2 linked regions of the Anolis sagrei genome follow. The protein of the gene in region 1 interacts with the protein of each later gene in a pairwise test. Links are inferred from orthologs where the notes say so. Each region holds a gene or a part of one and is shown on either strand. Other genes may lie near its edges.

Region 1 (7,381 bases):
TGTAGCTCTTAATGAGACATGCCACACTATCACAGGATGTCTACGCCCTACACTGCTGTAGGAATTATACTGTTTAGCTGGTTTTGCATCACCTGACAACTGTCAGAAAGTAGCAGACTGTAATGAAAGGACCAAGGCAGTGACATCTCCGGCCCATCCTCTGTTTGGATATTAGCCAGCACACCAGCCACTTAAATCAAGAAATAGCTTCCTAATATCGAGAGAGATATTCTCGATACTCTCGTGGCTGTTGCATGTTCCAGAGTAGGCAAACCTGACAATCTCCACATCAACACTGACAAAGAAACAACAAGAAATACTGTTTTCCCACAAGCATAAAGAAATTACAAATGCGTGACCATATTTCTGTGTACGAACCCACACAATCTCTTCGATCATCTGGAAAGGCCCTGCTCACACTCCTACCTCCTTCGCAGACGCGATTGGTGGGGACGAGAGAGAGGACCTTCTCGGTGGTGGCCCCCCGACTCTGGAACTCGCTTCCCAAGGACATCAGGCATGCCCCAACTCTGGCAGTCTTTAGGAGGAGCCTGAAAACGTGGCTGTTCCAGTGTGCCTTCCCAGAATAGGGAAAACTCTCAGCATTATGTCCTCAAAATGCACTTTACTACTGCTTTAGGATTGACTGCATTCCCTCATTCTCTCTAAAAATCCTATCCCAATTATATCCTACCTGGTTCACATCAGCACTATTTTTTTAATTTTAATCTATCACATTTGGCCTGGCCATTGGTTTTAAATGTTTATATGTTACTGTTGACTGCTTATTGTTTATTTTGTTTATGTGATTATGATTTATATTGCATTGATTGTTTATTGATGTTTTATTTTATTGGTGTTCTGTTTATTGATGTATTGCGGGCTTGCCCTCATATAAGCCGCACCGAGTCCCTTGGGGAGATGGTAGCGGGGTACAAATAAAGTGTTGTTATTATTATTATTATTATTATTATTATTATAAAACTTTCAGCAATATGCCCTCAGAATGCACTTTACTACTGGTCAGGATTGACTGCGTTCCCTCATCTCTCTTTGAAAACCCTATACCAGTTATATCTGACCTTGTTCATGCCCAGCGTTTATTTTTTAATTTTTAAACCATTACATTTGGTCCGGCCATAGGTTTTTAAAATTTTGTGTGTTACTGTTTATTGGTTATTGTTTATATGTGATTTATATTAATTGTATTGTATTTTCTGCTTTGTTTATTGTTGTTGTTTATTGATGTATGGTTGGGCTTGGCCTCATGTAAGCCGCTCCGAGTCCCTTGGGGAGATGGGAAGTTTTATTATTATTATTATTTTATTATTATTATTAGAAACCAACACTTTCTCATTACTTTATTTTCCAGATCACCAGACTGGGCCACAGCAACGTGTGTCAGGGGACAACTAGTGATTTTTTTTTGGTCGTGTTAGGAGCAAGTCGCTTCTGGTGTGAGAGAATTGGCCGTCTGCAAGGATGTTGCCCAGGGGACGCCTGGATGATTTGATGTTTTTATCATCCTTGTGGGAGGCTTCTCTCATGTCCCCGCATGAAGAGCTGGAGCTGATAGAGGGAGCTCATCCACCTCTCCCCGGATTCGAACCTGCGACATGTTGGTCTTCAGTCCTGCCGGCACAGGGGTTTAACCCACTGTGCCACCGGGGGCTCCAGCTAGTGATAAATAAATAAGTACTGTTTTTGTGCTTGTTGTTGTTGTTCATTCGTTCAGTCGTCTCCGACTCTTCGTGACCTCATGGACCAGCCCACGACAGAGCTCCCTGTCGGCCGTCAACACCCCCAGCTCCTTCAAGGTCGGTCCAGTCACTTCAAGGATGCCATCCATCCATCTTGCCCTAGGTCGGCCCCTCTTCCTTTTGCCTTCCACTTTCCCCAGCATAATTGTCATCTCTAGGCTTTGCTATCTCCTCATGATGTGGCCAAAGTACTTCAACTTTGTCTCTAGTATCTTTCCCTCCAGTGAGCAGTCGGGCTTTATTTCCTGGAGGATGGACTGGTTGGATCTTCTCGCAGTCCAAGGCACTCTCAGCACTTTCCTCCAGCACCACAGTTCAAAAGCATCGATCTTCCTTCGCTCAGCCTTCCCTAAGGTCCAGCTCTCACATCCGTAGGTTACTACAGGGAATACCATGGCTTTGACTAGGCGGATCTTTGTTGCCAGTCTGATGTCTCTACTCTTCACTATTTTATTGAGATTGGACATTGCTCTCCTCCCAAAAAGTAAGCGTCTTCTGATTTCCTGGCCACAATCTGCGTCTGCAGTAATATTAGCGCCTAGAAATACAAAGTCTGTCATGGCCTCCACATTTTCTCCCTCTATTTCCCAGTTGTCAATCATTCTTGTTGCCATAATCTTGGTTTTTTTGACATTTAGCTGCAACCCGGCTTTTGCGCTTTCTTCTTTCACCTTGATTAGAAGGCTCCTCAGCTCCTCCTCGCTTTCGGCCATCAGAGTGGTGTCATCTGCATATCTGAGGTTGTTAATGTTTCTTCCAGCAATTTTCACCCCAGCTTTGCATTCATCAAGCCCCGCACATCGCATGATGTGTTCTGCATACACGTTAAAAAGGTTGGGTGAGAGGATGCAGCCTTGCCGTACGCCTTTCCCAATCTTGAACCAGTCTGTTGTTCCGTGGTCAGTTCTGACTGTTGCTACTTGGTCCTTGTACAGCAGTGTTTCTCAACCTGGGAGTCGGGACCCCTGAGGGGGTCGCGAAGGGTTGTCAGAGGGGTCGCCAAAGACTATAAGAAAAACAGTATTTTCTGATGGTCATGGGGATTCCATGTGGGAAGTTTGAGCCAATTCTATCATTGGTGGAGTTCAGAATGTTCTTTGATTGTAATGAACTATAAATCCCAGCAACTACAACTCCCAGATTACAAAATCAATCCTCCCCCAACCCCACTAGCATTCACATTTGGGTGTATTGGGTATTTGTGCCCAGTTTGGCCCAGTAAATGAAAATGCATCCTGCATATCAGATATTTACATTATGATTTATAACAGTAGTAAAATGACTGTTATGAAGTAGCAATGAAAACAATATTATATTAAACATACATCAAGGGAACCACTGATCGCATAGGGAAGCTGATGAGGAAACACAACATACAAACAATCTACAAACCCACCAAGAAAATCCAACAAATGCTACGTTCAGCAAAGGACAAGAGGGATCCTCTTACCTCTGCAGGAGTCTACCGTATACCATGCAGCTGTGGACAAGTCTACATAGGGATCACCAAACGCAGCATTGCCCAGACACGCATCAAGGAACATGAAAGGCACTGCAGACTACTTCAACCAGAGAAGTCAGCCATAGCAGAGCACCTGATGAACCAGCCTGGACACAGCATATTATTTGAGAACACAGAAATGTTGGACCACTCTCACAACCACCATGTCAGGCTACACAGAGAAGCCATTGAAATCCACAAGCACGTGGACAATTTCAACAGAAAGGAAGAGACCATGAAAATGAACAAAATCTGGCTACCAGTATTAAAAAACTCTAAAATTATAACAGCTAAACAACAGAGAGGAAAAAACCAGGCACAGATTAACACCTCCCAGCAACAGATTTTCCCAGGCTCAAGCAGGCCTTCAAATGCTAATGAAGGTGATCAGCTAAACATTCACACCTAACTGCAGCAGGGAAGAGCTCCTTGCCCCACCCCAGCCATTCCACAGATATATAAACCCATTTTCCTACTTCCAACAGACCTCACAACCTCTAAGGATGCTTGCCATAGATGCAGGCGAAACGTCAGGAGAAATGCCTCTAGAACATGGCTCTATAGCCCGAAAAAACCCACAAGAACCTAGTAAAACAATATTATGGTTGGGGGTCACCACAACATGAAGGACTGTATTAAGGGGTCATGGCATTAGGAAGGTTGAGAACCACTGTTGTACAGATTCCTCAGGAGAGAGACAAGGTGGCTTGGTATGTTTTCGTGCTGATGGGCAACAAAAGGGGGCTTGGCTTTCAACAGGGCGCCGCCTCCATGCTGTCATTGGTGGGCATATAAGGGGGCGTGGCGTACTGACGGTGAATATTGAAAAGCCAGGAACCACCTTCGTGATGACGTCAGCCGGCATCAAAAGGGGGCGTGGCTCTCAGCTTCCATTCGGGCGCGGCCTGTGTGCTGACGTTGGTGAGGCTAAAAGAGGGCGGGGCTTCCAGCAGTCGCCGCCTGCGTGCTAATCCTAGTTAGTATGAAGTGGGCGGGGCTTCCAGCCGGCGCTCTTGCGTGCTGACGCCGTCGCGCAAAAAGGGGGCGCGGCTTGAGTTTCCTCTTCTCAGCTGACTCTTCGCCATTTTGCCATTTTAATTGCCTCAGAGAAGCGGCGCCGGAGGGGCAGGAAAGAAGGGACTGGAGGCGGCCGCCGCCCCGGGATGGGAGCGCGCCTTTAAGGCCGAGGACTGCCTTCTCGCCGCCGGTGTTGCTGGAAGCAGCCTTTCCCCACCCGCCTCGAGTCCAGCGGCGGCTTTCCTCTCCTCCTTCTTCTCCTTCTCCTCCTCCTCCTTCCGCCGCCATGGCTCTGAAGATGGTCAAAGGCAGCATCGACCGCATGTTTGACAAGAACCTGCAGGACCTCGTGAGGGGCATCCGCAACCACAAGGAGGACGAGGTGAGCTCCCGCCGCCTCATCTTGGAGTGTCATCTTTCCCCTTCTCAATGCGTTTAGATTCTTTGGAGCCATTCCTTTTGATTTTGTATCTATCTTTTACCATTAGTCTAGTTGTTCACTGTGTATTAATGGTTTATTATATTATTTAGAATAAATCTAATCTAATTCTTTACCATTTATATTTGTTGTATCCATTGCTTCCTAATTTCATCTATTGTTATATTATTTATTTTTGCTACATTGTTTATTTCAAATTATTTGTTATTTATATGCATTTATGTGCAGTGTTTTGTATTTTTATCTATTACTAGCCATCCCCTGCCACGCGTTGCTGTGGCCCACATATGGGTCCTGTGTGGGAGATATGGCCAAATTCTATTGTTGGTGGGGTTCGGAATGCTCCTTGATTGTAGGTGAACTATAAATCCCAGCAACTACAACTCCCAAATGTCAAGATTCTATTTTCCTCAAACTCCATCAGTGTTCACATTTGGACATATTGAGTATTCATGCCAAGTTTGGTCCAGATCCATCATTGTTCGAGTCCACAGTGATCTCTGGATGTAGGTGAACTACAAATCCAAAACTCAAGGTCAATGCCCACCAAACGCTTCCAGTATTTTCTGTTGGTCATGGGAGAACTGTGTGCCAAGTTTGGTTCAATTCCATCATTGGTAGGGTTCAGAATGCTCTTTGATTGTAGGTGAACTATAAATCCCAGGAACTACAACTCCCAAATGACAAAATCAATTTTTTTAGTGAAGGACATACATTGGGTTGTTAGGTGTCTTGTGTCCAAATTTGGTGTCAATTTGTCCAGTGGTTTTTGAGTTCTGTTAATCCCACAAACAAACATAACATTTTTATTTATATAGATACCGTAATTATTCGTATTATATTTGTTCACTATTACCGTTTATATTATTTATAAAACTTCTTAACTATTATTTATTTATATTATTGATATCAGTTGCTTTTTTATCTACGCATTTTTATTACTGTTTAATATATTGTTTGGAATACTCATCATTTATTCTTTATAATTTATTTATATTGCATTATATTCTCTATTTATTAATAATTAATGATTAAGGATTCTTATATTATTTATAATGTTCGTTATCTATTCATTGTAATTTATTAATATTATTTATATGTATTGCGTACTAATTTATCTATAATTATATTTGTTCACTATTAATGTTTATTATTTGGAATATTGGTTATCTTGTATTGTGTGTTTATTATGCATTGTTTTAGGCACACTCTGCCATCTGTAAGCCGCCCCGAGTCCCTTTGGAGAGATGGAGGCGGGGAACAAAAAAAAAGTTATTATTTATTTATTTATTTGCAATTTATTAATATAATATTTGTATCGACAGTATTGATTTTTTATCTTATTTCTTTATTTCGTAACTGTTTCTTAATATTTATTATATTTTGTTTTTATCTATATGTTTACAATTTATTGTTTATATTATTTATAATATCTATTATTTGAAATTTATTTATATTCCTTGTATCCATTGCTTTTTATTTTATTTATTCACTATTTATATTTATCTTTATTATCTTTTAAGCTATTTATTAATGTCCATTATATTTATATTTGTTATTTAGTATTAACACTTTGTTTATATTATTTATATCCATTGCTTTTTATTTGTGTCGATCAATTTAATATTATATTTGTTCATTGCTAATATTTGTTATATTAGTTATTGATTTATTTATGATTTCTTATTAGTATTTGCTTCTCTTTTTATTTTTATTTTTTTAGTCACTGTATATACTCCAGTATAAGCCTATTTTTTCAGCCCCTTTTTTAGGCTGAAATAGTTCCCCTCGGCTTATACTCGAGTCAAGGTTATTTATTATTTTACTCTGTTATTAGTATTATTTTTATTACATTTATTATTTTACTCTATTATTATTATTACACTTACATTATTTTCCTCTATTATTATTTTATTACATTTATTATTTTATTCTATTTATTATTATTATTGCTTTTATTATTTTACTCTATTATTGTTATTATTGCTTTTATTACTTTATTATTACCAATATTATTACATTTCTATTATTTACTCTATTATTATTTTTATTTCATGTTATTGCATTTATTATTCTACTCTATCATTATTAGTAATAGGTAAGCACATTTGCATTGAAGGAGGTTAGAATAATGGTTTAATCAGATTTGGGCAGTCTTATCTTAAATTACAGTTGTATGTAAATACTCAAAAACATTTAACCTACTGATGATTACCAGTACAAGCTAAATTTCTCACTCTCAGCTTATACTCAAGTCAATACGTTTTTGCAGTTTTTTGTGGTAAAATTAGGTGCCTCGACTTATATTCGGGTCAGCTTATATTCAAGTATATATGGTATATATATATATATATATATATACACACACACATATATATACATACACACATACACATAAACACACATATCCTCCCATCTATATTACTATGGGTCTCTTATAGCTATTATTTACTTTTTATGTATTTGTGGCCTATATTTATATGTATTGCTTTGTCCGTTTTTACTAAACTGACTATGTACTTATTAATCTGCTCTATTTGTTGTTTATTTACATTTGTTGCTTTTTACCTGTTTATATTTTCAGCTCTTCTATTTATTATGCATATAATGTGTATGGGTCAGCTTTATTTGTCCTTTATTATCTATATCTCATATTTCAGGTCA
Region 2 (7,467 bases), on another chromosome or scaffold:
TCGTACCTGTGGGAACAGCAGAGGAAGAGGACATTCATTTCCCCAAAACCATTCCATGGAAGTAACACATCTTCTTCTATGTACAGGCCATGTTGCTTTTCATGGAGATACAGCTTCTTAGCCCAGTGTCTACAATAATGGGGAGGGCTGGGGACTCATGGCTGAACAATGGCATGGGATGCAGGCCTTCTTAAGTAGCTATGAACCGCCAGCATTGGATGAGAAATACTGCTCAGACTTATTTATCATGTTAGAAGCAAATTGAGAATAAAGTTATAATGTATTAAAAAAAACACAAATTTGCCAATTGCTCAGGCTGTTTGGGTGGGAATCCTGAGCTTTGTCCCCTTCTCAAGGCAGGTCTCAAGACAGTTTTCTAATCTTAAAGCAATAACAAAAATTACTATTAATTCTTTATTCTGCCATTTCAATCTTATGTCTCCAAAATTTAATAGAAGTGCTATATTTGGATTTTAGGTATATTAATTGATAGTATGTCATTAATTTCATCAAGACATTTTTCTGCCTTTTCTCTGGTGCTCCGGGCTGTCTTCTGTCTCAGCAGCTGCTCTGTTCTGCTGCCACCTTCTGTCTGCTTCTGATATAACCCAGAATATCAAGGCAGATAATTCACAATATCTGCTTTGAACTGGGTTATCTGAGTTAACACTGCCATATCCAATTTATCAAAAAGTTTATTAAACTGCCAAAGATGGAGTGCACTGTATTGTTTGGAAACCTGTCCTTCAGGTTAACACCCATTGAAGGTGACCAGACTTTGTTCAACTGCCTTAGTGGTTGGCCAACACTCAGTGGTGTATAGAGCGACTGGTCTCACCACCGTCCTGTAGATTTTCAATTTTAGGTGGATTGGGATCTTCTTATCACACATTACATCTGTCATTGCTCTCCACTTCATCCATATGGAGTTTACATGTCCGTGACCATCCGACAGTACTTCGCAGGCAGAGGTTATCTTTGAGCCGAGGGATTTAAAGCTGGTCACTTTGTTGAGGTCAGTCCCCTTGATATTGATGGAGCCATCCTCTACTGTTGGTCCACATTCCATGTACTTTTTTGAGATGTTAAGCTGTAGTCCGAAATATTGCACATGATTTTTCCACACTTGCACTTGAGTCTGCAACTCTACCCATGACTCGGCGGCTAACATAACATCTTTGGCATACAGCAGCATCTAAGGATGTGGTTTCTGTATATCTCTGGTGCAAATGTGTACAAATTGATGGTGACCATGCTGAATAATAGTTTGGATAGAGGACAGTTCAGGCTATGATCTGGAGCAACTTCTGCTGTTAAATGTTCATTTATAACATTTTTATGATGCAGGAGGCAAAACTTTTTGGTCCACCTGCATATTTCTAGCACCCATTTTTTGCCAGTGCTTCTTGTAAGTCCAGAGTAACTCCCAGGTATTTGGGTGTGCTGCAATGCTCTAGTGGGACTCTTTCGCAGGTAATCCTCAGAGTTGTAAAAACATCTAAAGCTTCGGAGAGCTTCTGTTCAACCATGTTTATCAGGCATGGGCAAACCTGGACCTGCCAGGTGTTTTGGACTTCAACTCCAGGGGACAGTTCCATCTTGTCTCCTGCATATGTGATCAGTTGAGGACCCCCTCCCCCCAGCACCAACTACCGCTCTGGGCCAGAGTGAAGAGATGGGGGGGGGGGAAGGGGACAGTTCCATCTTGTCTCCTGCATATGTGATCAGTTAGGAACCCCTCCCCCCAGCACCAACTGCCGCTCTGGGCCATAGTGAAGGGGGGAGGCAGGGGACAGTTCCATTTTGTCTCCTCCATATGTCATCAGTTGGGGGGCCCTCCACTCCCATAAAATGGACTATCCTTTTCTCTCTATCGCCCCCTTGTAGCCTCTGCCCAGATAATGAAACAGTGCCCTTAAAACATTGTTCATTCGTTCAGTCGTCTCCGACTCTTCGTGACCTCATGGACCAGCCCACGCCAGAGCTCCCTGTCGGCCGTCACCACCCCCAGCTCCTTCAAGGTCAGTCCAGTCACTTCAAGGATGCCATCCATCCATCTTGCCCTTGGTCGGCCCCTCTTCCTTTTGCCTTCCACTTTCCCCAGCATCATTGTCTTCTCTAGGCTTTGCTGTCTCCTCATGATGTGGCCAAAGTACTTCAACTTTGTCTCTAGTATCCTTCCTTCCAGTGAGCAGCCGGGCTTTATTTCCTGGAGGATGGACTGGTTGGATCTTCTCGCAGTCCAAGGCACTCTCAGAACTTTCCTCCAACACCACAGCTCAAAAGCATCGATCTTCCTTCACTCAGCCTTCCCTAAGGTCCAGCTCTCACATCCGTAGGTTACTACAGGGAATACCATGGCTTTGGCTAGGTGGATCTTTGTTGCCAGTCTGATGTCTCTACTCTTTACTATTCTATCGAGACTGGACATTGCTCTCCTCCCAAGAAGTAAGCGTCTTCTGATTTCCTGGCCACAGTCTGCATCTGCAGTAATCTTTGCCCCTAGAAATACAAAGTCTGTCACGGCCTCCACATTTTCTCCCTCTATTTTCCAGTTGTCAATCATTCTTGTTGCCATGATCTTGGTTTTTTTTTATGTTTAGCTGCAATCCAGCTTTTGCGCTTTCTTCTTTCACCTTGAATAGAAGGCTCCTCAGCTCCTCGCTTTCGGCCATCAAAGTGGTGTCATCTGCATATCTGAGGTTGTTAATGTTTCTTCCAGCAATTTTCACCCCAGCTTTGCATTCCTCAAGCCCCGCACATCGCATGATGTGTTCTGCATACAAGTTAAAAAGGTTGGGTGAGAGTACGCAGCCTTGCCGTACGCCTTTCCCAATCTTGAACCAGTCTGTTGTTCCATGGTCAGTTCTGACTGTTGCTCCTTGGTCCTTGTACAGATTCCTCAGGAGAGAGACAAGGTGGCTTGGTATGCCCATCCCACCAAGAACTTGCCACAATTTATTATGATCCACACAGTCAAAGGCTTTAGAGTAGTCAATGAAGCAAAAATAGATGTTTTTCTGAAACTCCCTGCCTTTCTCCATTATCCAGCATCCGGATATTGGCAATCTGGTCTCTCGTTCCTCTGCCTTTTCTAAACCCAGCTTGAACATGGTATAGAACAATATAGTAATATATAATACTAATACTTGAACAATGGTATAGTACAATATAGTAATATATAATACTAATATTGTACTATGCTAATAATAGTATGAAAATATATCTTGTAAGCCGCTCTGAGACCCCTTCGGGGTGAGAAGGGTGGTATTTAAATGTTCTAAATAAAGAAATAAAGAAATAAACTCTCAGCATTCCTAACAACCTCAGGCCCCTTCCATTTCCCCCTCAGCCGCTTAAGCCTGAGGCTGTGAGGAATACTGGGAGCTGAAGTCCAAAACACCTGGAGTGCCCAAGTTTGCCCAGGCCTGATACACACACACTGTGCAGGTACAACTGTACCAGGAACTCCAATTTTGTTTGCTTTGCATTGAATGTTTGTTGTAGTCCTAAGTTTCAGGGACTCTGCAGATAGGTGGCTTCCTTTGGCTGCAATCATAGGGCAAGCCACCTGTCAATTATAGTTAGGTTCCCTGGTCCCGCCCCTTTTTGGGTTTTTGGAGGGTATAGGAGACTTTTTGGGTCAGTCCACACAGAGATGCCTTTCATGCAGGACATAATACCAAGAGCTCCTGTAGAAAGCTTCGTCTTCTACGGCTTGGCCGGGGAGATATACAGCCCACAGCTTGGCTGGGGTTATACAGCCCTACAGTTCCTTTGCTGAAGGACTTCAGTCAGCCATCACAGAAACCTGAACTCCTTTTCCCCTGGAAGTCTACAAAGCTCTGCTTGGTAAGGGTCATTCGCGGAAGCCAGGGTCTCCACGCCAACAGAGGCAAAGACAGGCTGCCCAGATTAGAAGTTAAGGATTTCCCCATTAGTTACAGTTATGAAGATAGTGCCTGTTCCCTGTGGACAAGACTGAGAGAGAGCCAATAGACTGTTAAGAAAGCCTTAAAGTACCTGTTTGTTTTCATTAATAAAGAACTTTGTTGAACCTTTAAGCAATCCAAAGACTCTGTTTTAAGGAAATCCAAAGGTCTTTAATCTGAGGCAGCCCCGGCGTCCCGTTGGGCACACAGAATTTATGTCCTGTCTACAGTCTTAATCACAGGCCCAGCGTGCGACAGCACACACACACATTCTGATATGGAAGGCATGGTTCAGAGAAAGGAAAGTCACATGTAGATACTGTACATCACTAAAAGGTGAAGACAGGAGTCACACTGCCCTCCCTCACCATCTGCAGAGACGGGGGCTTCCTCTTCTCCTCTTCCTCGCCCATCTTTCCCTCAGAAACAGACGAGAAACACTTCCGGTTTGTGTTGTCTACTGGCAGCTTTCCGGCCTCGCTCTTGTCGTCACTTCCTGTCTTTCCCCGGCGTCCGAACTCGGCTTCCCAGGAGCCTTTGCGGCCAGGGGCGGAAGCTCACGCGCTGCTGGCTTGTCCTGGAAGCTTGTCGATTACAGGACGGGGCCTGGAGGGTCCGGGCGGGCGCTTGGCCAGGTGAGGAGGCGGAAAAGCCGGGGAGAAGGAGAGGGGAAGAGACGGAACGGCGGTTCTCACCAAATAGGAGGCTTGGTTGCCGCTGAGGGAGGAGACCTGCCTCCTTGGTGGTAGTGAAGCCTCGGACTAGGCCACTGTTGCTATAGCAACGCCCCCACCCTCAGGTAAAGGGTTAGGCCTGACTGAAGCCTTCCTCCTTTCCTTCTCAATTGTGTCCTTCCACACAGCCATATAACCCAGAATATTAATGCAGGAAATCCTACAATATCTGCTTTGAACTGGGTTATATGGCAGTGTGGACTCGGGCCCCTACCACACAGCCATATATCTGCTTTGAATTGGATTATATACGAGTATAGATGTAGGCCTACCACACAAGGCAAATAACCCAGAATATCAAGGCAGATAATCCCACAATATCTGCTTTGAATTGGATTATATACGAGTATAGATGTAGGCCTACCACACAGCCATATAACCCAGAATATCAAGGCAGATAATCCCACAATATCTGCTTTGAATTGGATTATATACTAGTATAGACATAGGCCTACCACACAGCCATATAACCCAGAATATCAAAGCAGATAATCCCACAATATCTGCTTTGAATTTGATTATATACTAGCATAGACATAGGCCTACCACACAGCCATATAACCCAGAATATCAAGGCAGATCACCCCACAATATCTGCTTTGAATTGGATTATATACTAGCATAGACGTATGCCTACCACACAGCCATATAACCGAGAATATAAAAGCAGATAATCCCACAATATCTGCTTTGAATTGGATTATATACTAGTATAGACGTAGGTCTACCACACAGCCATATAACCCAGAATATCAAGGCAGATAATCTTGCAATATCTGCTTTGAATTGGATTATATACTAGTATAGACGTAGGTCTACCACACAGCCATATAACCGAGAATATCAAAGCAGATAATCCCACAATATTTGCTTTGAATTGGATTATATACTAGCATAGACGTAGGCCTACCACACAGCCATATAACCATGAATATCAAAGCAGATAATCCCACAATATCTGTTTTGAATTGGATTATATATTAGTATAGACGTAGGCCTACCACACAGCCATATAACCCAGAATATCAAGGCAGATAATCCCACAATATCTGCTTTGAATTGGATTATATACTAGCATAGACGCAGGCCTACCACACAGCCATATAACCGAGAATATCAAAGCAGATAATACCACAATATCTTCTTTGAAGTGGGTTATCTGAGGCCTCTTCCACACAGTTGAATAAAATCTGACATTTTCTGCTTTGAACTGGGATATATGGCAGTATGGACTCCCAATATAACCGAGGCTCCTTCCACACAACTGAATAAAATCCCACATTATCTGCTTTGAATTGGAATAGATGGAAGTGTGGACTCAGATATCCCAATTCAAAGGAAATTTGGTGGGATCTTTTGCCTTGATATTCTGGATTATATGGCTGTATGGAAGGGCCCTGAGTCCACACTGCCATATATATAATCCAGTTCAATGTGGATTTTATACAGCTGTGTGGAAAGGGCCCTGGTCAAGCTTCCCAGCCTTTCTTTCTCAGCGCTTTTCTTAATGTTGCTTCTCCTTTTTTCTTGAAGAGGATAACACTTGTCTCTGCTTCCTCCTCTTTAATGCTCTTGTGGGTCTCATCTCCACTGCCATATAATCCAGTTTCTGTATCCAGATTGTCTGCTTTGAACTGGATTGTGCGGTAGTGTAGATTCATATTATCCTGCCTCAGGGTGCATACTTTTTGCCCTGGGATATAATAGTAACAGTAATTACAATAATGCTTTATTTCTAGACAGCCCCCTCTTTCCAAGGGGACTCCGGGCAGTTGTCTTCCTAGGATGCAGTATGTATCATCCTTGGATTTGTAATTTGGAAAAGTGCTGTAGCTCTCTGAATGTGTATCAACTGTCAATTTATGACCACCCCATAGATTTCTTGAGGAGTTCTCAGACAAGGAGTGATCAGAGGTGATTTCATCTGTAGTGCTTGGCAGTCTCCCTTCTAGATCATAACCATTCCGCTTCCAAGATCAGACAGACTCTAGTGCCTTTAGGATATGTTTCCCTTAATGTCCTATGAAATTGCAGTCCTTAAAGGCTAGTGTGATGGGGCCCTTGGTGGTTTTGACTTTTGCAGATTTGATTGTTCATGGATTATATTTGATGTTTCTCTCTAGAAATCTCTAGCTCTTCGAGTACAATTCTTTGATCAACTTCTAGCAGACATCAACCATAGAACCTCAAATGGAACCCAGGGATGGCTTTTACCTTACATACTAATAGGTTCTCATATCTATTTGGTGTTTCAAAAACATTGCAGTAAAACAAAAGCTTTTCTCTGCTGATTCTTCAGCAGAGAAAACAAAAGATACCCTTGTATTAAGTGCACAAACACAGTGGGTCACGTAGTTGACTCAATCAGCGATTAAAACCAGTTAACATTGTAAGGCAAGATTTTAGGTGTCTGTATGGAAGGTTCACAGAACATTTGGAGAAAAAGCCCTGATGTGATTACTACATACTTTGCGAAGTCTGCGCAACAGCACAGGAGGACCATTCTCATCCTCCTGTGCTGCAGAAAGACCTGTATCTTTTAATCTTCTTTGACAAAATAAAGTGCCATCCTAGAACATAATGTCTTGAAGAGATTACATTTGAAAAGTCACAGTGACTATTCTTTTGTGTAAGGTTAGCGCCTGAAGGGGATATAAAATGGAAGTAATGTGAGTAGACAATAAATAATTAGTACCGTAGTATAAGCTAAGAAGGTTTTTAAAAAGCCTTTTCTGGATGGAGCAACTTGGGCAAGGAGCAACCGATTTTCCCTTTGGCAAACTATGTGGCTAGGATTGCAT

Evidence for each region. The genes of interacting proteins can lie anywhere in the genome.
Region 2: the proteins of AP3D1 (region 1) and VAMP7 interact in a two-hybrid assay, tested with the Homo sapiens proteins (2 studies listed by BioGRID and IntAct). The link is inferred for Anolis sagrei from reciprocal best matches to the Homo sapiens genes AP3D1 and VAMP7.

What each region holds. Positions count from the first base shown.
Region 1 is NC_090034.1:51,490,124-51,497,504, reverse strand, and holds the start of AP3D1 (AP-3 complex subunit delta-1), read left to right. Parts: upstream 1-4,329; 5' UTR 4,330-4,564; coding exon 4,565-4,660; intron 4,661-7,381. UniProt on the Homo sapiens protein: Part of the AP-3 complex, an adaptor-related complex which is not clathrin-associated. The complex is associated with the Golgi region as well as more peripheral structures.
Region 2 is NC_090030.1:14,746,785-14,754,251, reverse strand, and holds the start of VAMP7 (vesicle-associated membrane protein 7), read left to right. Parts: upstream 1-4,453; 5' UTR 4,454-4,567; intron 4,568-4,621; exon of another isoform or gene 4,622-4,731; intron 4,732-7,467. Other genes in the region: DNA-directed RNA polymerases I and III subunit RPAC2-like, read right to left, coding at 1-6, 4,301-4,345. UniProt on the Homo sapiens protein: Involved in the targeting and/or fusion of transport vesicles to their target membrane during transport of proteins from the early endosome to the lysosome. Required for heterotypic fusion of late endosomes with lysosomes and homotypic lysosomal fusion.